Alligator mississippiensis: one gene and its partner. The protein of the gene in region 2 purifies or fractionates together with the protein of the main gene of each other region. This does not show direct contact. Links are inferred from orthologs where the notes say so. Each region holds a gene or a part of one and is shown on either strand. Other genes may lie near its edges.

What was found. Proteins that work in one complex are often made in the same cells at the same time.
Region 1: the proteins of HDAC6 (region 2) and tubulin beta-4B chain purify together in Homo sapiens (affinity purification with mass spectrometry, with the first as the bait; 4 studies listed by BioGRID). This does not show direct contact. The link is inferred for Alligator mississippiensis from reciprocal best matches to the Homo sapiens genes HDAC6 and TUBB4B.

What each region holds. Positions count from the first base shown.
Region 1 is NC_081835.1:40,549,320-40,559,943, forward strand, and holds tubulin beta-4B chain, read left to right. Parts: upstream 1-5,208; 5' UTR 5,209-5,273; coding exon 5,274-5,330; intron 5,331-5,449; coding exon 5,450-5,558; intron 5,559-5,638; coding exon 5,639-5,749; intron 5,750-6,490; coding exon 6,491-7,551; 3' UTR 7,552-7,707; downstream 7,708-10,624. Other genes in the region: CIMIP2A (ciliary microtubule inner protein 2A), read right to left, coding at 7,708-7,793, 8,624-8,741. UniProt on the Homo sapiens protein: Tubulin is the major constituent of microtubules, a cylinder consisting of laterally associated linear protofilaments composed of alpha- and beta-tubulin heterodimers.
Region 2 is NC_081831.1:28,536,454-28,546,888, reverse strand, and holds the start of HDAC6 (histone deacetylase 6), read left to right. Parts: upstream 1-3,872; 5' UTR 3,873-3,939; coding exon 3,940-4,224; intron 4,225-4,709; coding exon 4,710-4,838; intron 4,839-5,168; coding exon 5,169-5,257; intron 5,258-5,984; exon of another isoform or gene 5,985-6,012; coding exon 6,013-6,097; intron 6,098-6,256; coding exon 6,257-6,297; intron 6,298-6,412; coding exon 6,413-6,509; intron 6,510-6,640; coding exon 6,641-6,738; intron 6,739-8,716; coding exon 8,717-8,821; intron 8,822-8,983; coding exon 8,984-9,052; intron 9,053-9,166; coding exon 9,167-9,293; intron 9,294-9,994; coding exon 9,995-10,060; intron 10,061-10,435. Other genes in the region: CDK20 (cyclin-dependent kinase 20), read left to right, coding at 2,458-2,583, 3,046-3,327.

The DNA.
Region 1 (10,624 bases), on a different chromosome or scaffold from region 2:
AGTGTGTTTGTGGACAATACCTCTTGAAGAAATTCAGTTACTGGTAAGTAATTTCTCTTTCTCCTTCAGTAATTGTTCATATATATATATTTTCTCACCAGTGGGCAACTCTAAAGCTATGCCTCTCACATCTGGATGTGGGTCCACTAGGCAACATATCTGAGTCATCTAGGTATATAACAATTTGAGGACCTCCCTTTGTGAAGGTATGAGCTAAGTTCTAGCTTGCCAGCTTACAGTTGTCAGTTAGAAACACTGCAAAGTCAGGCATGGAGGCAGCCTGAGCTTTAACAGGCATAGATATCACTTACAGCACAATTTCACACAACCCAATAGCCAGCTGGATACTCTCTGGGCTGATATTTTTAAATCCTTTGGCTATAGATACAAAAAGTCATAAAGATTCACAAAAAGGACTTAAACTGATGCAAATAGTAGGCCAGTGCCTACATAACATCTAGAGTATATAATAAAGACTCAGCTTGGAAGGTATGTGGCTTTAGAAGGGGACTGGTAGAGAGTCCTTCTGGTGCAAATGAAACAGTGATCACTTTGGGCAAGAATTTCAGGTGAATCCTGAGGACTACCTTCTCAGGAAAAAGAAGTAGTATGCAGAGGTAATTGCTATTAATAAACATTTTTTTAAAAACTTTACCAAGAGAGAGAACAAGCAATGAGTAGGTTGTAGTGGCTCCAGAGGTGGGTCCAGTTGTGAAGACTAGGTTCAGGTCTAGTCTGTAGTAAGAAAAAACATCTTCACTAGGCCTTTGAGAAATCCTAGGGCTATTGGGTATGAGGTTCTATGGTAGTCATTAATAGAAAGGGTGAGTGATATGCTGATATCTAGATGTGATGCATCTAGACATAACTTGACTGAATTCATAAGTAGATTAGCATTATTGAGCTCTCACTAGTAGCCTTGAATATTCAGAATCAGAGAAAGGAATGTGCCTGTAGTAGCACTAATTGAAAAACCTTTCAAGCCATTTAGCCATTTAAGTTCACCTTACCTACAATGGATGAGAATAGTCCTAACTGGTTCAGAACATTCTCTCTCTTTCATTGAGAGTCACTCAACATCCATGGTAAGAAGTGGAGAGGGTAGAAATCTAGATGGAAACTCTCCCCTTGTTCTGTCCAAGTAGGTCCAAGAATGGGGGCAGGGACTTATGGCACAACACCAGCAGCTGCATAATCTCCTGGTACCAGAACCATCAGAATAGGGGGTGATGAGGGCAGATAGGATCAGCTGGGTTAAATCTGGTCAGATCTGGCAAGTTACCTGGGGAATTGGAGGCATTCCCAGATTCAAATTAGGATATTATATAGCAGGGGTGAGCAAAATGTGGCCCTGGGGGCCAGATGCAGCCCACCAGGTCATTCTATCCAGCCTGCAGGGCCCCTAAAAATTTTAGAAAATTAATATTTATTTGCTCTGGGCTGCTTATCATGTGGCCCTTGATTGCTTGCCAAAACTCAGTAAGCAGCCCTCTGCCCAAAATAATTGCCCACCCCTGTTATATAGGGTACATCTACGCAAGTGCTTTACTGTAGAAATGACTAATTAGCTTTGAAGTAAAGAGTCATGATCTACATGTGTGCCCGTATTAAGGCGCAGTAAATTAATTAACTCCACTGTAGGATAGTACTGTCTGGGACAAGTACTTTCCTACAGCAGAGTAGTCACATGTGCCAAAATGCATGTGTATACAGTGATTGGAGCTGCCTGGGGCATGAGGGTGCTACAGTTTGGGGGATGCCTACTAGCTAACTCTGCACTGTAGCACCCTCATGTCCCAGCCAGCCCCTCCACAGCATATTGAGCTGGGGCAGAGGTGCATGTATAAACTCTGCAACCAAGAGCAATAAACTCATGCATGAACTGCACTTCAGTTTATTGCTACCTGCTAACTGCACATGTACATGCACCCATAGAGGGTTGTGATGAGGAGCAGATGTAGAATGACGGGAGGGCTAGTAAATGGTGAATTATTTTGCTGCATCAGGCAACTGGGATTGATTGAGTTAGGAGAGGGTTACTGTCTGTTTTTGGAGGTTTAGGAATGGTTAAGGGAAGTTTGAAGATGGTGCACAAATGGGGCAAACCTGATAATTGGGAAGTGTAGCCGAGAGTGGAAGGAATAGGAAAGTGGGGCTGGGTCAAAGGGGATGGGAGCATAGTATTCAGGTGTGTCTTTTCTTACAGTCATTGCTGTGACTGTAGCTTGGGTAGGCATACCTGAGCTAGCTTGAAAATTAGCTAGCTTGTGTACTGCTCTCTGTAGCCATGGCAGCATAGAACTCCGTGCCAGTTGCAAAAGCAGTGAAAACATGAGGTAAATATGTGGATGGCTAGCCCATTCTGAGCTCCCTGGTACTGCAGATACATTGCTAATGTCACTCAAGCTTATTAGTTTAAATATAGCTTTAGGTATGTCTACACAAACTAAATTCACAATAATATATTTGTGAGCTCCCTAGTGGCATTCTATTTTATGCCTCAGAAGTTGCCAGAAGCCATTCAGAGCAGTACTGTGTTTTCATAACTGGGCTTGGCAAAGCTGTGTATATTTAGTAAACCACTGTGCCGCTTTGGTTTCTTTATATTGTTTGTGGCTAAATATTGGAGAAAGAAGGGGTTGAGAAGGGAGGACTGGGTGTTAGGAAGCAGAGAAGTAACTGAATCTCAATAGTTGGGGTATTATAGTATTGGATATAGGGGAAATGTTTGTAGGGAAAGGGTACAGCAGCCAACTTTTGAGGAACACAATCTGGGGCAGTGCCAGACACTCCACAGGCCTCTTGAACCAGAAATAGCACCACTTATAGCTCTGGATAGTGCGCTTGCCTTAGTGTGGTGCTGCAGGTTGGCTAATTAGACCCATGCAGTACTGTGTGAATGCCAGTATGAAGCCAACTGCCTCCCACACAGGTAGAAGTATAGTTGCATTCTTGCAGCCTAGTGCTGCACCTATTCAAGCTTCAGGACACTTCCTTTCACTGTGAAATGTCACCTCTTTTGGGATCTTTTTTCCAAATTCAGGACAAAATTTAGATCTTTGGGTACAGGCTAAAAATTTGATAATCTCCTGGAAAATTTGGAAAGCCATTTGCTTTAGGGAAGGAGAACCTGTTTGTTGGAGGGTTGAGTGTAGATGGGTTTGCGAATGACAGCTAGGTGAGGACAGAAAGAGGCCTTTGTATAAGAAAGGGAATTAGGGTCGTGGTGGGCAGTTGGAATATGTCTTTGGAAAGGGGTACTATGTTTAGAAATGCGTATAGGGGTGGTTGGGGGGCTGGTAGTAAATCTGGGTATCAGGATGACCATAGGGTTGGGTGTAGGAGTGGATGGCAACTCAGTGTTGGGAGGTGGAGGAGGGTTAGGAAGGAGATTCTAGTTTGGGGAAAGAAAGAGGAAGTTTAGGATAGAAGTCTGAACGTAGTGTGGGCCTGGTAGGTTGTGTTTCAGGAGGTTCGTCCCAGGGTTGCTGTGCATTTCTGAAACTGATTTTGGAAAGATGTATAGAAAGGCCCAGTGAGGAAGGAAGAGATGTCCCTGATATCAGAATGCACAGAATGGGTGGATGATTGGTATCTGGATAATGAAAATGTATGAAGGGACTTGTAGGGAACTTGGTCTGGGGTACTGGGGTTAGTCTGGAGTGGTAGCAGGGTGTCAAGTGGGACAAGTTGGCTGAGAAGGGAGCCTCACTTGCAGTACAGCAGGTCTCTGGAAAGGGGAGGATTTGGAAGCAGGGTGAAAGGGCAAAGTGCTTGGGAAGGAGCTGCTGAGTATCAGGGATGCGTGCACTTGCAGAAGTGGGGCTGGATGCTGAGCAACAGGCTTTGGGGAAATAGGATGTCCCAGGTGGCAGTTTGGGACGATTGGTGGCAGTGGGAAAAAAGGGTGCATGGCAGAAGTGGCTTGAAATGAAGTAGGTGTTGGCTGCCAGGGCTGTGGGGATGTTGAGAGAGTGCGTGCTGGGCACCAGGGGAGTGGATGGTGTTTGGGAAGGGGCTGCTGGCTGCCATGCCTCCACGAATGCCTCATGCATGCCTCATGCCTCCCCAGGCTCGGGGGTACGGCGACCACCCGCAGAAGGCGGCGGGTTGTGGGGGCAGTGAGCGGGGGCCACCTGCAGGCGGCCGCAGCAGTGTCAGGGGCAGGCTGCGGGAGATGGTGAGCGTTGACCGGCGGTTGGCGACCACCCGCAGATGCCGCTGGCAGTGGCGACGGTGGCCAGCGGCAATCGGCAACGGCCCGCAGACGCTGCCAATTGGGGGGAAGGGGAGGGGTGGCGGGCGGCAACCGCCTGCAGGCGCCACCAGCACCGTTGGCAGGGGCAGTCTCCAGGGGTGCACCGACAATCTCAGGGGGTGCATGTGCACCCCCTGCGCGCAGTCAGTGCGTGCTTGTGACGGATGTTGGGAAGGGGACCCCGGGCGGGGTGGACAAGTGGCATGGGCCAGGGGCGAGCGGAGTAGCAGATCCGGCAGGGAGCAGAAAGAAGAGCGAATCGGCAGTGGCAGGGGACCGAGAGGCAGGTGGGGAGGCAGCAGCGCTCCTCGGCCCACTGGTTCAGGACATCAAGGGCGGGCCGCACGCGGTCAGAGGAGGTATTTCAAGTGTGCGGATGCCGGAGAGGACGGGCCTCAAAATGTTTTTCTTTTTCCAAGGAAACGCGTCCCAGGCAACACTGAAGGGGAGCTGCCCCCACCCCCACATTTACGGCCACAGCGTAGCGCCTTGCCGCAGCTCGTAGTACACGTCCCGCCCGTTACGCTGCAGACGCAGCCTAAAGCCTTTCAAGAATACAGACAGAGCCACCGCCTTGCTCCTAACGCAAACCTCACTGCGGCGGTTCCTAGGACACGGGGTGTTAACCCAATCGTTGTGAGATTACTTCATTGCTACGGGAAACAGCCAATCAGCCTCTACATCAATCATTCAATTAAACCAATCGGAGCTGTGCTGAAGAGGGAGGGGAGAAATTGTGACGTTCAGAAACTTAACGTCACGACCCGCAGGAGGGGGCGGTGTTGGTTGAGGAAACGTGATAATTTGACCGACAGTTTCTTAACCAATCGCGCTTCTCTCTGTTCCGAGCCTCATTATGGTTGTCCAATAGTTTTTGCCAGCGGTCGGCCGGGGCCGAGGGAACGTGGGTGCGCGCGCAAACCGTTACTATATAAACGGCGGCGGTTGCTTGACGCACGCAGTGAGGCTGGTGCGGTGCTGTGGGCGGTTCGGAGTTGTCTGCAGAGCCGCCATAATGAGGGAGATCGTGCACCTCCAGGCCGGGCAATGCGGGAACCAGATCGGGGCCAAGGTCGGTGGCAGGGGGCGGGCGGGCGGGCCGGTAGTAACCCTCGGTACGCGGGGGCAGTGGCTGACAGGCGGGAGGGCCGCCGCTCGCTGCAACCTCTGACCTGGGTGTGTCTCTTGCAGTTCTGGGAGGTGATCAGCGACGAGCACGGTATCGACCCCACCGGCACCTACCGCGGGGACAGCGACCTGCAGCTGGAGCGCATCAACGTCTACTACAACGAGGCCACAGGTAGGTGCTGCCCCCGCCCCTCCTGCCCCCCCCCCCCCGCACCCCGATTTCCGGCCTCACTCTGCCTCCCTGTTTTCTAGGTGGCAAATATGTTCCCCGCGCAGTGCTCGTGGACCTGGAGCCGGGCACCATGGACTCTGTGCGCTCTGGGCCTTTTGGGCAAATATTCCGACCTGACAACTTTGTCTTTGGTGGGTGTCACAGGGTTTGTTTGGGATTGGGCGGGCAGGCGGGGGGATAGCTTGCCTTGTCTGTAGTGAACTTTATCCTGGCTGTAGAGGACTTCTTTGGAGCAGGGTAAGCTTCACCTAAGGCTTGGCTCTGTTTGAAGTGGTCACAGGTGTTTTGGGTGGGACGTGGACAGGGGCAAGGAGTGAATTCCTTGTCAACACACTTATGATGCATCCAGTTTCTGTTGCAGTGTAATCACTGCGACTTCGAGTTGATCCAAGGGGGCATTGTGCGAACATGGTAATTGGTGTTCAACCTTCTGGCCCTTTAGAGGAATGGTAAGGGGTCACTCCACAAACCAGCACGCTTTTAATATGTCTACTTCTCTCTCACCATTAAACTTCTGGACCTGGAGAGAGCTGTCTGTGCCATATGTTGAGCACCACTGTTTTTAACAGACTTTGCATGTTGAATACTCGCACTATTTCTTTATAGAATAATCTGGAATAAGAACTTTAAATTCATGAACTGCTGTCTTTTTGCCAGACTTGGCTTCAGGCACAGTCATGTCTATTTTTTTTTTTTTTTTTTTTAATATTAATATTGAAACTTGTTCTTTAAAAAGTAATTAAAGAATAATATTTCTTAAATATTGTCACTACCAGGAAATGCATTCTCAAGCACTCCATTTAAAAAAAACCCATCCAAACCCATAACATCAGCAGTGCCTGTAATGTAATGTAAAAATGGTTTTCTTCCAGGTCAGAGTGGAGCAGGAAACAACTGGGCAAAAGGCCACTACACTGAAGGTGCTGAACTGGTTGACTCTGTGCTAGATGTTGTAAGAAAAGAGGCAGAAAGCTGTGACTGCCTCCAGGGTTTTCAGCTTACACACTCCCTTGGTGGAGGCACTGGCTCTGGTATGGGCACCCTCTTAATCAGCAAGATCCGTGAAGAATATCCAGACAGGATCATGAACACTTTTAGTGTTGTGCCTTCACCTAAAGTATCGGACACTGTAGTAGAGCCTTATAATGCCACACTTTCTGTACACCAGCTTGTAGAAAACACAGATGAAACCTATTGCATTGATAATGAAGCACTATATGACATCTGTTTCAGAACGCTGAAGCTAACTACTCCAACATATGGTGATCTGAACCATTTGGTGTCAGCAACCATGAGTGGAGTGACCACTTGCCTACGTTTTCCAGGCCAGCTTAATGCTGACTTGCGTAAACTTGCAGTTAATATGGTTCCTTTCCCCCGTTTGCACTTCTTCATGCCTGGCTTTGCCCCACTCACCAGCCGTGGGAGCCAACAATATCGGGCTCTAACTGTGCCAGAACTCACACAGCAGATGTTTGATGCAAAGAACATGATGGCGGCATGTGACCCACGTCATGGCCGCTACCTCACTGTAGCTGCTGTTTTCAGAGGCCGCATGTCAATGAAAGAGGTGGATGAGCAAATGCTTAATGTACAAAACAAGAACAGCAGCTACTTTGTTGAGTGGATTCCCAATAATGTTAAAACAGCTGTTTGTGACATCCCACCCCGTGGCCTGAAAATGTCTGCTACATTCATTGGTAACAGTACAGCTATCCAAGAATTATTTAAGCGTATTTCTGAGCAATTTACTGCTATGTTTCGCAGAAAGGCTTTCTTGCATTGGTATACTGGGGAGGGCATGGATGAGATGGAGTTCACTGAGGCTGAGAGCAATATGAATGACTTGGTATCTGAGTATCAGCAGTATCAGGATGCTACAGCGGAGGAAGAAGGGGAGTTTGAGGAAGAAGCTGAGGAAGAGGCAGCATAACATTTATGCAGTAGCAATTCCTGTATATTATGTCTAAAGCTGTATGAACTCTTTCCATTCAAAACTTTTTTGTTTTTGTTTGTCTGTATTGTGTGAATCTTTTGCTGTTCCATGACAACTTCATGTCCACTGATGTACAGACAATTAAAGCATCTTTCAAAATGCATGAGCTTGTTGCTTTTGTTTCTGGTAAGCTTTTCGGGAACTGTTGCCAAAGGTCAGCATGTAGTTGTTTCTAATAGCTGGAAAATAAAATGCAGTAAAGTTAGCAAGTATTCATGCAAAAATAGTTTTGATTGGACAAATTTGTGGAACAAAGCTAGACAGCTAGTAAACTCAAAATATATGCCTGCTTGCAAGGAAGGGATGGTGTGGCAAGATGGTGCTCTTGTCAAAGAGCCTGCTACCCTAGAGGTGGTGAAAGGGATTGGGTGGGGGTGGGGGGGGGGGTGCAGAAGAGTCTACATCTAGTTCAAAGACCTGACAACAAGGTTAGTGCATCCCTCCTCCACCATCGCCTTTATGCTTCCTCTGTTAAACATAGGGAAAATCATGTTCCTATACCTTCCCCATGGGGAGCTGAGCCTCCGGCTTCTGCCATGTACAATCTTCACAGCAAGGTCACTAACCCATTGGCAGTGGGTGGGTGAGTGGAGGTAGTCAGAATTTTCGCAATGGCCTTCCATGGGATCCTGTACACCAAAGAGGGGAGAGCAGGTGCTTTCCATGTTGGACACTGGACCACCTTTGCCAGGAGGTGCTGTGCATTTAATGCTTCAGGGAGTGCTAATGATACCAGCCCCCTGCAGGCTCAAAAGACCACGTACCATAGTAACCTGCAGGGCCCTAGAGCAGAGGTGAAGGGCCCTTTTGCCTTCACTACCACCTCCTGGTGCAACAGTATCCCCCCTCAGAAGCTAATTCACTTTCACCTTCCAAAAACACTGATTAGCAAGACCTGTAAAACTGACTATGACAATTACTGGGCAGTTCATCATCATCATCTAGTATGCCTACTATGATTACCATGGCTATTACCATCAGTGATTCATGTCAAACCTGACAAACTTACTCGGTACAAAGCCAGTGTAGAAAGGTATCAATCCAGTGTTGGTGTAAATTCTTTTGTTAGGCCAGTATGTTTGGGGTAGTCTATTATTAGATGTGCACATTGGGTTTCTTGCCGTGTGCTGAAAGAATAAGTAATAGTTTATTTTAAAACGTAGTGTTATACAAACTTGTTTTATCACATTTGCACTCCTAACTATGACATTAACTTTGATGCAGAGCCAGATTCAGGGTTGAATAAAGCAAGACCCTAGGTTCACAACAATATATCTGAATTACAGTGATATGTAGTCCCAGTTTGACCATGACAAAGGTCCTGTGGTAGCTATGGGCCACAACTGGGACTGGCAACAGTGCCACTTAAAGATACAGGTCTTGAAGGTAGGCTGCGAGAGAGCCACAGATGCTAACTGGATCTTCAGTGCCCACAAGGCGATGACCACCTACCATAAGCAGTTCTCACACATCCTCATGGGGGGTGACTCCATAGCACCCCCCATTTGCCTGACACTGATGGTTGGGAACTAGCTGACAATGACTTTGATGCCTCCAGTGAGGCAGAGGGGGAAGACACCTCTCATCCAGGGACTTCAGTGGCACAAAAGTGAGCACAGGAGAAGCAGGAAAAACTTCATGGAGTCTCCATTCTTGTACAAGGGCAAAGAACCAAAGTTTATCACCCCTCCCCATGGTAGAGCTCTGGTGAGACTCATCCATCCATCAGTGCCGTTATTAAAAACTCATTACCATTTGGCCTCTAAAGAGACCAGACTGCAGCTCATCTATGATCAGGACCTGTTTTGCAAGCTTAGACTCAGAATTAAGATACTATTCCTTTAATTATCATCACTCAACCAAAAAGAAAAAAAATGCCATGAGACAAATCTACAGCATGACCCTTGAATATCACACCCCAAAAGCAGAACAGACACATTTCAATGCCCATCTAGCTATCCCACAAATGAACACAGATTCTCAATAGCTTTTTAGGTCTTCTTGAATGTTTCTCATTTTCCCTCCAGTCTATACCCTATGTTTATAGACAGCATAGTCTAATAACTTTTCTAACCTGAGAGGGGCAAGAACCAGGGTCAGAGGCCCAGCTGCCCAGGATAAATCCTAGGGCCAGGGACCCACAGAGAGAGGCACCAGGGCCAGCGGCCCAGAGAGACTGACAACTGATGGGGCTGAAACTGAGAGAGCTAGACCTGAATCTGGGCCAGGGCTGAAGGCTGACAGCCAGAGAAAAAGGAGGTGGAAATTGGGAAGCTTGAGGCTTCTATAAAGGACAGTATTGTATCAAGTAAAACCTGCAAGGCATGGTCACAGCTGTAAGGGATGCTGGAGGCTGTGAAAAGCCCATAAGGCAACAAGTACCCTGGGGCACATAGGGGCCAGGAGGGCCTATCTACTATGGACCAGGTCTGGGCTAGTGGGGTCCAGGAGGGGAGCAGTTGGTGAAGGAAGAACAAGGGTATGTTCTAGGACCCTTAGACCGCTGCCCTTTAACAATCTAATGCATGGTGGTTGAAAGTGGAAGAGAGGGTACCTAGAATCAGGGTAAAACACCTCTGACGCCTGGTCCAGATACAGGCAGTCACACAGTACCTAGCTGTATGTGCATGGAGGGATTTTTAATACTGGCAGGCCTGAGGGTGGAGGATGCAGAAATCAAAGTGAATGTCCTGTTCTGTTTCTGTTTGGGGTGGTACCAACACTGGCTCCCAGGGTCCCCTGCTGTGCCTGTCCTAAGTAAATACCTAAGTATTTACCACCTCTGGGTATCCTGGATTCATGCCCCTTCTCCCCCTCCCACCCCAACTTTTCCAGAATATGTGTAGATGGAGGGGGTAATTAAGATGAGGCATAAGGGGAACAATTCACAACATTCACTGTGAGAATTACTGCTGGTTCCATAGTGGCTCCCTTGGAATTCCCCAGCAATTAGAGGCACCTAGCACTTCATTACTGTGGGATGGTAATGAGTTAATGCAGGGAGGGAGAG
Region 2 (10,435 bases):
GTAACCTCCTCAGTTACTATGACATCTACCCTGTTGTCATGGTTTCCCATCATGGTTCCCATCCCCATCCCACATCCATGCCCCATCCCTCATCCATGGTTGCCATGACATCTACCCTGGCCTATCTTCCCTGCCCATGTTGTTTTGACAAAACCCCACTGCCCAATGCCCCTGGTTCCTATGACACCCACCCTAGTCATCCTTCTGCCTGCCCTGCCCCCACAGTTGTCATGGGACCCCATTCCCGCCAGGCTTACCATGACACCCATATTGGCCTACTGCTCCAGTTTCCTGCCTCAGTTGCCATGACACAGACACCAGCCTATTCACCCCAGCTTCCTGCCTCAGTTGCCATAACAGCCTTCTTGTGGTTGCTATAATACCCAATCCCCTTTGCCATTGCCATGACACCCACACCAACCTACCACCCCAGCTTCCTTCAGTTGCCATGACACCCCCGTTATCATGGCACTTACACCAATCTACACATCACAGCCTCCAGCCTCAGTTGCCATGACACCTACCCATCATGGTTGCCATGATGCTGCACACCCCAAGGTGGCACTAACCCTCACTCTTTTCCTTCCCTAGGCTGCCAGCTGTACCCAGTGCTGGGAGCGCTGCCGTGGGGGGAGGGCTCAGCCTTCACTGCGGGGGGCTGGGCCCCAGGGGGCTACAGCAAGGCCCTCCCTGGCCCTCCCTCACCCCCACCCCCCCCTGAGGCCCGGGACAGCCCCACTTTCCTGGAGATGCTGAAGACGGAGAGGCCCAGTCCTGGGGTGGGGGGGGGCACTGAGGGGCTGGGGCTAGGCCTGGGCCTGAGCCTGGGCCTGGGCGGGGGCTATGGCAGCCCCCCTGACCTGGCCTACCTGGCACCCCCTGGCCCCGCCTACCCCCCTGCCTTCCGGGGCAGCCTGCCCCTGGCATCATGTGGTGAGTCCTCTCCCCATCTGCCTCAGTCTCAGCTAGGATCAGGCACCTCCCCTCCTGTGCCAGCCAGGATTGGGACTCCCCAAAGCCAGAATCAGACTCCCCCTGAGTCAGGATTGGGCTCCCCCCTCCTGCCCCAGATAGGATTGAGGGCTCGCTCAGACTAGGACCAGGACCCACCTGCCCCCAGCCAGAATTGGAGCTACACAGCCCGCACCCAGGATTGGGTTCCCTGTCTCCCCCACATCCATGATCAGGACCTTCCTTGATTTTCTCTGCCTCCCACCCCAGGATTGGGCCCTTTGGTTGGGGGGAGGGTATAAGCTCTTACCAAGATTGGGCAGGGGGATGGAGGGGACATAGAGCACTTGGGGCTGGGCAGGATCGGGACCCCCTAGATAATGTCTCCCCCCGACAGAGGCGCGGGAGTGCGTGAACTGCGGGGCCACGGCCACACCACTGTGGCGCCGGGATGGTACCGGGCACTACCTATGCAATGCCTGTGGGCTGTACCACCGTGTCAACGGTGCCAACCGGCCCCTCATCCGCCCCAAGAAACGTCTGGTGAGAGATCCCCTCCAGAATCCCTTTGTGGACCCTTCCAATACATCCCTTCTACCCCTCCCCCCCACCTCATGGACCCTTCTGATACACTCCACCTGTGACTCCCATGTGGACTCTCCCATGCTCTCCCCCCAGATCCCTAACATGGAGCATTATACACCCCTATGGACCCTTCCAATACAGTCCCTCAGGGATTGCCACATGGACCCTCCCAACCGCTGCACAGACTCTCCCATTACAACCCTCCCCAGGACCCTCCCAATACACCCTCCTGGGTCCCCAGCTAGGACCATTCTATACACCCCCCACACAGACCCTTCCAGTACTCTCGTATAGACCCTCAATATATGGACCATTCCACACACTGTCCTCCCACATGGACTCTGCTAATTCACTCCCTCCACTGACCCACAACATGGACCCTTCCAATCCCCCAGGGACCTCCACATGCACTCTTTTATAACAACCCCCCACCCTGAAACATCCGCATCATCCCCAGGACCCTGACATGGACTCTCCCAGGCCTCTGCCTAGGACCCCCAACATGGACCATTCCACACCATGGACTGTCCACCAACATGAACTGTGTTAATTTACCCCCTAGGGTTGGATCCCTAACATGGACCCTCCCAACATCCCCTGCAAGGACCTCCACATGGAGTTTTCCAAACCACCCCCCAGGGATCTTGGCATGGACCCTCCCAATACACCCTCCCCCCCACAGACTCCCAATATGGACCATTCTTCTCCCCCACATACATGCTCCCAATGCACCCATCCATGGGACCCCCAACCACTTGTTCCCTGGAAACACCTGGTGAGAGACCCCCCACCAGGCTTCCCATATGCCCCCTGGGGATCTCCAAACCCCTCCTGGAATCCCCATACCCCCTAGGGACTCCATCCAGACACCATGGGGACCCTGTGACCCCCACCACTTGACCCCTGCCCCCCCACCTCCAGGTGGTGAGCAAGCGAGCAGGGACCCAGTGCAGCAACTGCCAGACCACGACCACAACACTGTGGCGCCGCGACCCCCGCGGGCAGCCCGTCTGCAACGCTTGCGGCCTGTACTACAAGCTCCACAATGTGAGTGCCCCCCCATTCTTGCCCCAGGGCCACCTGAGTTCCTACCCCAGGGCTGCCCGGATGCCTGGGTCCTTTTCCTGGGAAGGCCCAAATGCCTAGGTTCTCATCCTGTCGTTGCCCAGGTACCTAGGTTCCATCCCTGGAGAGGCCCAGATGCCTGGGTCCTTTTCCCAAGGCCACCCTGATGCCTGGGTTCCTACCCCAGGGCTGCCTGAGTTCCATCCCTGGAGAGGTCCAAATGCCTGGGTTCCCACCATGGGACCACTCACATATCTGGGTTCCATCCTCAGGGCACCTGGGTTTACATCCCTGATGGGGGGGATTGCAGAGGGATGGGGCATGGTCCTGGTCACCTGGATTCTTTCACCAACTCTGGGAGGGGAATGGGGGCTGGGATCCCAGACACCTGAATCCCTCTTGGCCCCTGGATGCATGGATCCCTTCATGACCCCTTCCCTGCAGGTGAACCGGCCACTGACCATGCGCAAGGATGGGATCCAGACACGGAACCGCAAAGTCTCAGCCAAGGGCAAGAAGCGCCGCAGTGGAGAGCCAGGTGTCCGGGCCCTGCCTGGCCCTGAGGGCCCTGCCCCGCTGGAGCTACTGACCCCGTCCCCCCTAGGAGCCGAGGACCCTAGTGCTCTCTATGCCCTGGGGCCTGTGGTCCACCTGCTGCCCTTCTCCCCCACCCCACACCTGCTGGGCCCCACCGCCTACCCCACCCCTGGCTCCTCCCTGGCCTGAGGGTCAGGGATGTGATCTGGCCCTATCCCACATCCACTAGGTCCAGCCCCCAGCCCAGCCCTACCTCTTTGGCCTGAGAGGTGGAGTCACAGCCTGGACCCAGCACCTCTCCCTAACCTGCCCCCAGGACTGAGTGGTGCAGCTACATTCTGACTATGACCCCCACCTGCTGGACCCCACCCACTGACCCTGAGGGGGTAGAGGCCATGGGTAAAGCCCCACCCCTGGGTTTGAAGGATTGAGCCATATCCTGCCCCAATGCCACCTGCCGGACCACCTCTAAAGGTACATTCCCCAGCCTGAGGGGGTGGAGTCACTGCTTTGGCCTGCTCCCTGGCTCCACCCCCAGGCTCTTGCCTAGTCCCGCCCCCACCGAGGGGAGGGGCTCTTGATGGGTGAGACCCTTGGGGGAAGCAGGTGCCGAGAGTCAGGGGTTTTAGGGGTCATGGGGCTCCAGGTCCCCCCCCACCCCAGCCCCCCCAATAAAGAGTCTGTCTCTTTAAGATACTGGTACTTTGCCTTTAATTGCCCTCAACTAGTGTCCGTGGTAGTACCCGGCCCCCACCCAAGCATTGGGAAAGTCCCAGTCTCCTTCCCCCTTTACTGAGGTGAATGGTCTCTCCCACCCCTCTAAGTGCGCATGTGCAGGGGAATTGTGTCACCCAGCTCTGCCTGCCCCGCGCGGTACGAATGGTCTCGCTCAGGGCAGGCCAATCTGACTCCATCCGGCAGCGCCCGGGAGAGACCATCTTTCTGAAGGGGGGGGGGGAGCAGATGAAACCATTTCCCCCCAACCCGGAGCCTCTCACGCCTACTTGTAATCCTCCCTGCCTTGCCGCCGCGATGCCCCCTGGGGTCTCTCCGGGGCCTGAAGGACCCAGCGCCCCGGCACCGTCGGTAAAGTAGCCGCCCCACCACTTGCCCCCCCCCCATATGGTTATGGGGAGTGGGTACCACGCTGGGAGAGTTGAAACCCGGTACCGGGGTCCAGGAGGGGTGGGGCTTATGATACTGAAGTGGGGCCAAGATGGGGGGGGGAAACTGACAGGGTGGAGTAAAATGGGGCGGGGCCAGGCTGTGGGAGGAGCTTGGTGCTCAGGGAGCGGGGCCAGAACGGGGTGGAGCCTGCGGGTAAGGAAGATTGGAGGTGGGGCTTAAGGACCTGGGGTGTGGCCTAGGTCAGGTGGGCGGGGCTTGGAGGCCAAGGATGGTGCCTGTTTCTCTCAGGGAGGTAAAGCTGGAGGGGAGCCAGGAGTGGGTGTGGCCTGACCACTGGAGCTGGATTTCCGGGCCGTGTGGGTGTGGCCTGACATGAAGGGGTGGGTTTGATCCCAAGGTAGTGTGGCCAGAGCTCTGCAGTCTGTCTTGTCATCCCCTTGTAGGGCCGGGCTGGTCGGCAGGCACCACCCCCTCCCCGCCGCAGCCCAGGGCTCCCTGAGGCAAAGCGGCGCGGCCGTGCCCGGAGGTTGCATCAAGAGGTGGCCGAGCTCCAGGATGGGTTACAGCACCTGGTACGGCCTAGATACCTGCGCCTCATGGAGTGGGGGTAGAAACTGGAGGCCTGTGTCCCCACAAGGTTTTGGCAGGGGAAGAGCCTGGACACCTGAGTCATTTTGGAGGTGGGGGGGATGGGGGTTGGTGGGAGCCCAGATGCCTTGGTCTTCTTGCTGGGAGGGGACAGGGGCCTGGTGGGTTCGATGGTAGGGGAGCCATTGGGGAGCCCCCAGCTGCCTGGGTTCTCCTGCTCTGGACAGGGCAGTGAGGCAGGGTATTATGTTGGGAGGGAGATACTGGAAGTCTGAGTTCACTATCTCCTGTGTCCTTCTCTACCCCCCCTCCAGGATCTGGCTGCAGAGAAGCCAGTGCCCTCAGGGACAGGCCTTGCTTATGATAAGGAGCTCACCAGCTTTCACTGCCTTTGGGACAAGAGGTGAGGGAAGCTGCTCCCTTCATCTGCAGCTCCTGTGCTGCCCTAGCTCCCTCATGAACTTCTATCTCTAAGGGTGGCACATCTGGGATCAGTTCACCAGCCTGGGACTCCAGTGCCACTCTGAGCTTGGCTTGTTACCCTGGGCTCTGTCCTGTCTCTCCCTGCTCCCCCCCCCATCTCTGTAATGGAGGGGGTGGATCTGGGATCAACTGGTCAGCCCGAGGATCCCCAGTCCCAGTCTGGGATTGATTTCCCTAGCCTGGCCTACAACTCTCTCCCCCCCACCTATGAGTCCCCATCATTGTGACAGAATCTGGGATCAACTCATCAGCCTCGGTTCCCCAGTCTTACTCTGGGTTTGGCTGGCTGACCTGGTCCCTCCCACCCCTGCTCCTTTTGTGTCTCTTCCTGACCCCCCAACCCCACCCATATTGGTGTTTCTCACACCTGACCTGCAGTGCTCCCCATGGCCCCAGGGTGCCCCTCACTCCTGACCCATAATGAATCCTACTGGGCCATGGATCCACAGAGGGAGCTGGGGCACCCAGATACCTGGGTTCATGGAGGGGATCCCAGACACCTGGGTTCACTGGGGGACCTGGATGCCTGAGTCTACCAGAGCCTGAGATGCCCAGATGTCTGGGTTCATGGAATGTGGAGAATGGCTGGGGGACCTGGATACCTGTGTCCCCATAGCTTCACAGTGCCCCTCACTCCTACCCCACAGCCTCCTGACTCTGCCCTTATTGCTGCAGTTTCCCTGAGTGCCCAGCCCGGCTGACATCCATCTGGACCAAGCTGGTGGAAGATGGATTGGTGGAGAGGTGTGTCCCTGTGCAGGTGAGTCAGATGCCTGTGTTCTCTGGGAGTGGAGGAGAGGCTGCAGGTGAGAGTGGTGGGGTAGGGAGGATGAGAACTCAGACACCTGGATTCTCTGGGAGGGGTGTGGGGCTGGGAGCCTGGATGCCTGGGGGTTTTTTTAGGGCTATCTCTTTGCAGGCCAGACTGGCTACGGAAGAGGAGATTCTGCTGGTACACAGGTGAGAGAGTTACTGGGGGTGAGGGGCACTGCAGGTCCATGGGTTTGGGGGGGGGTTGCAGGTTGGGAGTAAGGAGGGGAGTGAGGGGCACCATGACCCCCTCCTCACTTTGCAGCCCCCAGTTCCTGGCCCTCATGGCCTCAACTGCCGACATGGAGGAGGGTAAACTCCGCGCCCTCTCAGACACTTACGATTCAGTTTATTTGCATCCGGTAAGCCCCAGATTTTGGGGGCGGGGGGCTTGAAGCCCAGATGCCTGGGTTCTCTGGCAGGAGAGGTGGGTGAAAGCAGGGAGGGCTAGGAACCTCGATGCCTGGGTCCCTCACCATCCCCACCCCTGCAGAATTCATACCACTGTGCGCGGCTGGCAGCCGGCACTGTCCTGGCCGTGGTTGACAAGGTGCTGAGTGGGGAGCTGAGGAATGGGCTGGCGCTGATCCGGTAAGACGGGCTAGTGAGGTCTGGGGGGTGGGGCTAAGGGGATGGGAAAAGGGGCTGGAGGTGGGGCCTGAGTTCTAAGGGTGGGGGGTTATAGGGGTTGGACTTAGGGGCCCAAGAGGACAGGCCTAGCAGGGGAGGGGTGGGATGAAGCACCTGGGGGGGTTGAGGAAACTCAGAGGTGGGGCTAGGGGGGCTTGGGTGAGGTACGGGCAGGAGTGCAGCTATTGGGGCTGGAGGTGGAGCCAACAGGCTAGGAGTGGGTTAGGGTGGGGCTAGGGGGTGTGGCTAAGGGGCTGGAGTGGGGCTACAAGGGCTAGAGAGAGGCAAGGGCAAGACAAAGTGGGAAGGGCTGAGGGTAGAGCCAAGGGTGAGTCAGGGGGCAGGGCTACAGAGGAGGGCTTGGGGGCTATTGTTTGGGGATGGGGCTTGGACCTAGAGCAGGCTTGTCCAACATACAGCCCGCCAAGGTATTTTCTGAGGCCCGCTGTGCAGTGACGGGAAACTAAAGTAAACACTATTTACTTTCATTCCCACTCCTTGTTCCTCCCCCAGCCCCTCAGCAGCTTCCTAATGGTTGCTGAAGGGCTAGGGAAGGGACAAGGTTTCCACATGCACTGCATCAGCTTGATGTTGCGGACATGATGCATGTGGGAAGAGAAGTAGCCATGTGCCTCTCGGGCCAGGATGAGCCCAGCTGGAGCAGCAGGGGGCTCAGCTGCATTTTCCCCCTACCTCTGCTGGTCAGTCCCAAGCAGCACATTGCTCCACCACTACCTCTGCTGGCTGGTGCCGACCCAGGCAGGTCTGTTCCATCCAGAGCAGCAAGCAGCTGAAGCCTGATTCCCACATGCTGCTGGGGACAGGAGGAGGCCTGCCAGGTCGGCACCAGCCCTCAGAAGCGGCAGCAGAGCTGTGTGCTGCTCGGGACTGACCGGTGCAAGCAGGGGGAAAATGTAGCTGAGCTCCTGCTGCTCCAGCTGGGTTTGTCCCATCCTAAGCGGCATACAGCTCCGCTGCTGCTTCTGCTGGCCAGTGCAGACCCGGCCGGGTTCCCCCCATCCCCAGCAGCACGTGAGAAGCCAGCTTCAGCTGCATGTCGCTTTTCCTGGCTGGTGCTGACCCAGCTGGGTCCATCCCATCCGGAGCATGCGGCTTCCCATGTGCTGCTGGGGATGGGAGGAGCCCAGCAGGGTCTGCACTGGCCAGCAGAAGCGGCGGCAGAGCCATGTGCCTGCCACTCGGGACGGGACAAGCCTGGCCAAAGGGGCAGCGGCTCAGCTGCATTTTCCCCCTGCCTGCACTGGTCAGTCCCAAGCGGCACATGGCTCCGCCGCCGCTTCTGCTGGCTGGTGCTGACCTGGCTGGCCGCCTCCTGTCCCCAGCAGCATGGGGGGCCTCAGCAGGTGGGGTCCTGGTGTGACCTCTACAGGGCAAGGCAGTGGGAACCAGTGTCTTTTGGACTCCGGGCTCGCAGCGCTGAGGCCACCGGGGCTGTAGGCGGCCGGGCACCACGGTAAGCGGAGCCCCGTGGGCAGGCAGGTGAGGGGCTGCAGTGCAGCGGCTGCCTCGCTCCAGCCCCACTCAGGCAGCGCCAGCTCGTGGGGCTCCGCTGCTTGGGGGATGGTGATGTGGAGCTATTTATTTCTCCCCTTCTGTCTCTGAGGCAGTAGCTGGCTGGATGCAGAATGGGTCCCTCCTGCCCCTGCCCACCAGCAGCTACCATGAACCTTGCCGTAACAGGCAGGTGCAGTAGGGCTACACAGGCAGGGTCTCTTTGGCCCAGGACAGAGGGTGTTTGAATATGGCTTGCCGGCCCACTGGGTGATTAAAAAGTTAATGATCCGGCTCCACATTCAAAAAGGTTGGACACTCCTGACCTAGAGGTTCACTCTTCCTCTGGGGTTCTGTGGTAGGGCAGAGCCTGGAGTTGCAGGGGGTGGGGCTAGGGGGCTGAGCTTACAGCAGCTCCTCCCCCCAGGCCACCAGGGCACCATGCACAACGGGAGCGTATGGATGGCTACTGCCTCTTCAACCATGTGGCCATCGCTGCCCGTCATGCCCGGGAGCGCCGTGGATTGCAGCGGTGAGCCCGGACACCTGAGTTCTCTAGGAAGGGGTGGGGAGGGGACAGGGGTGAGAACAGGGGAGCTTGGTTCTCTGGGAAGGGAGAGGGACTAAAAGTGGGAAGCCCAGATGCCTAGATTTTTTTTTTTTTTTTTCTTCCTCCTGACATCATCGGTTTTAGGGTCCTGATTGTTGACTGGGATGTCCACCATGGGCAGGGAACCCAGTTCATCTTTGAAGATGACCCCAGGTCAGGAGTGAGGGACTCTGGAGCTGCGGGGGAGGGGTGGGGGGGCAGTCTGCGGGTCAAGAGTGAGGGGCACCACAAGACTGTGGGAGACAGGATATCATACAACACCCCCAGCGTCCTGTACTTCTCGGTCCATCGCTATGACAACGGGGCATTCTGGCCCCATCTCCCGGATTCTGATTCATCGGCTGTGGGGCGGGGGCAAGGCTGTGGCTTCACCATCAACCTGCCCTGGAACCAGGTGAGGGATCCCAGTGTCTGGCCCCACCTCTGGGGGGATCTGTTATACTTCGCCGTTCATCAGCCACCCCACCCCAGAGCTGGGTGCATTGTGGTTCTCCTTCCAAGACTTGTTTATACCTGGCTGTTCAGCCCTAGAGCTGGCTGCATCTCTGCTTTATCTGTGCCCTGTTATATGTGGCCATTCCCCAGCCCCTCCACCCCAGAGCTGTGCACATTTAGGTCTACCCCTGGGGTGTTATATTCAGCTGTTACCCACTGCTCCATCCCAGAGCTGGTTGCATCTTGGGATTCTTTCTAGACTGTTATACTCAACTGCCTCTAGACACCCCTGCTCCAGAGCTGGGCACATTTCAGCCTTCCTGTGGGGTATTATACTCAGCTGTTTCCCAGCCACTACCCCCTCCTGGCAGGCACTTCTGGGATTTTTCTCTAGGCTGTTATACTCGGCTGTCCCCAGGTGCCCTCAGCCCAGAGCAGGCATGTGGCTGATTCCCAGGTGTTCCACCCCAAATCTTGGCACATCTCAACTCTATTTGTGCCATATTATACTGGATTACTTCTCACCCGCCTCCCCAAGAGCTGGCTGAATCTGGGCCACCTTTGTGCTCCATTATACTTGGCTGTCCCCAACCCCCTCACCCCAGAGCTTGGTGCATCTTGGCCCCATGTCCCTCACCCAAGCCCCTGCTTCTATCCTAGCCTGGCATGACGGATGCTGACTACATCTCCGCCTTCCTCCAGCTCCTGCTGCCTGTAGCCTTCGAGGTACTGGAGGGGGACCTGATCTCTGCCCATTCCTAGGGGGAGATGGGTGCCTCTCAGCCTTTCTGGAGGGGGGTGTTTGTACTAGAGCATTTCTGGCTGTCCCACCCCAGAGCTGGCTGCACTTGGGCTCATTTTGGGTGCTGTTAGCTTGCCCATTCCCTAGCTGTCCCAGCCTTCCCCATGGGGTGTTAAGCTTAGCTGTTCTACCCCAATACTGGGTATGTCCTCACCCTCCCATGGGGTGCTTATACCCACCCATTTCCTAGCTGTTCAACCTCAGAGCTGGGTGCATACTGGCCCTTTTTACAGGATGTTGTCCTCAGCTGTTCCTAGATGCACCCAGGTCTAGCGTGCAGCATCTCAGGCCCCCATACC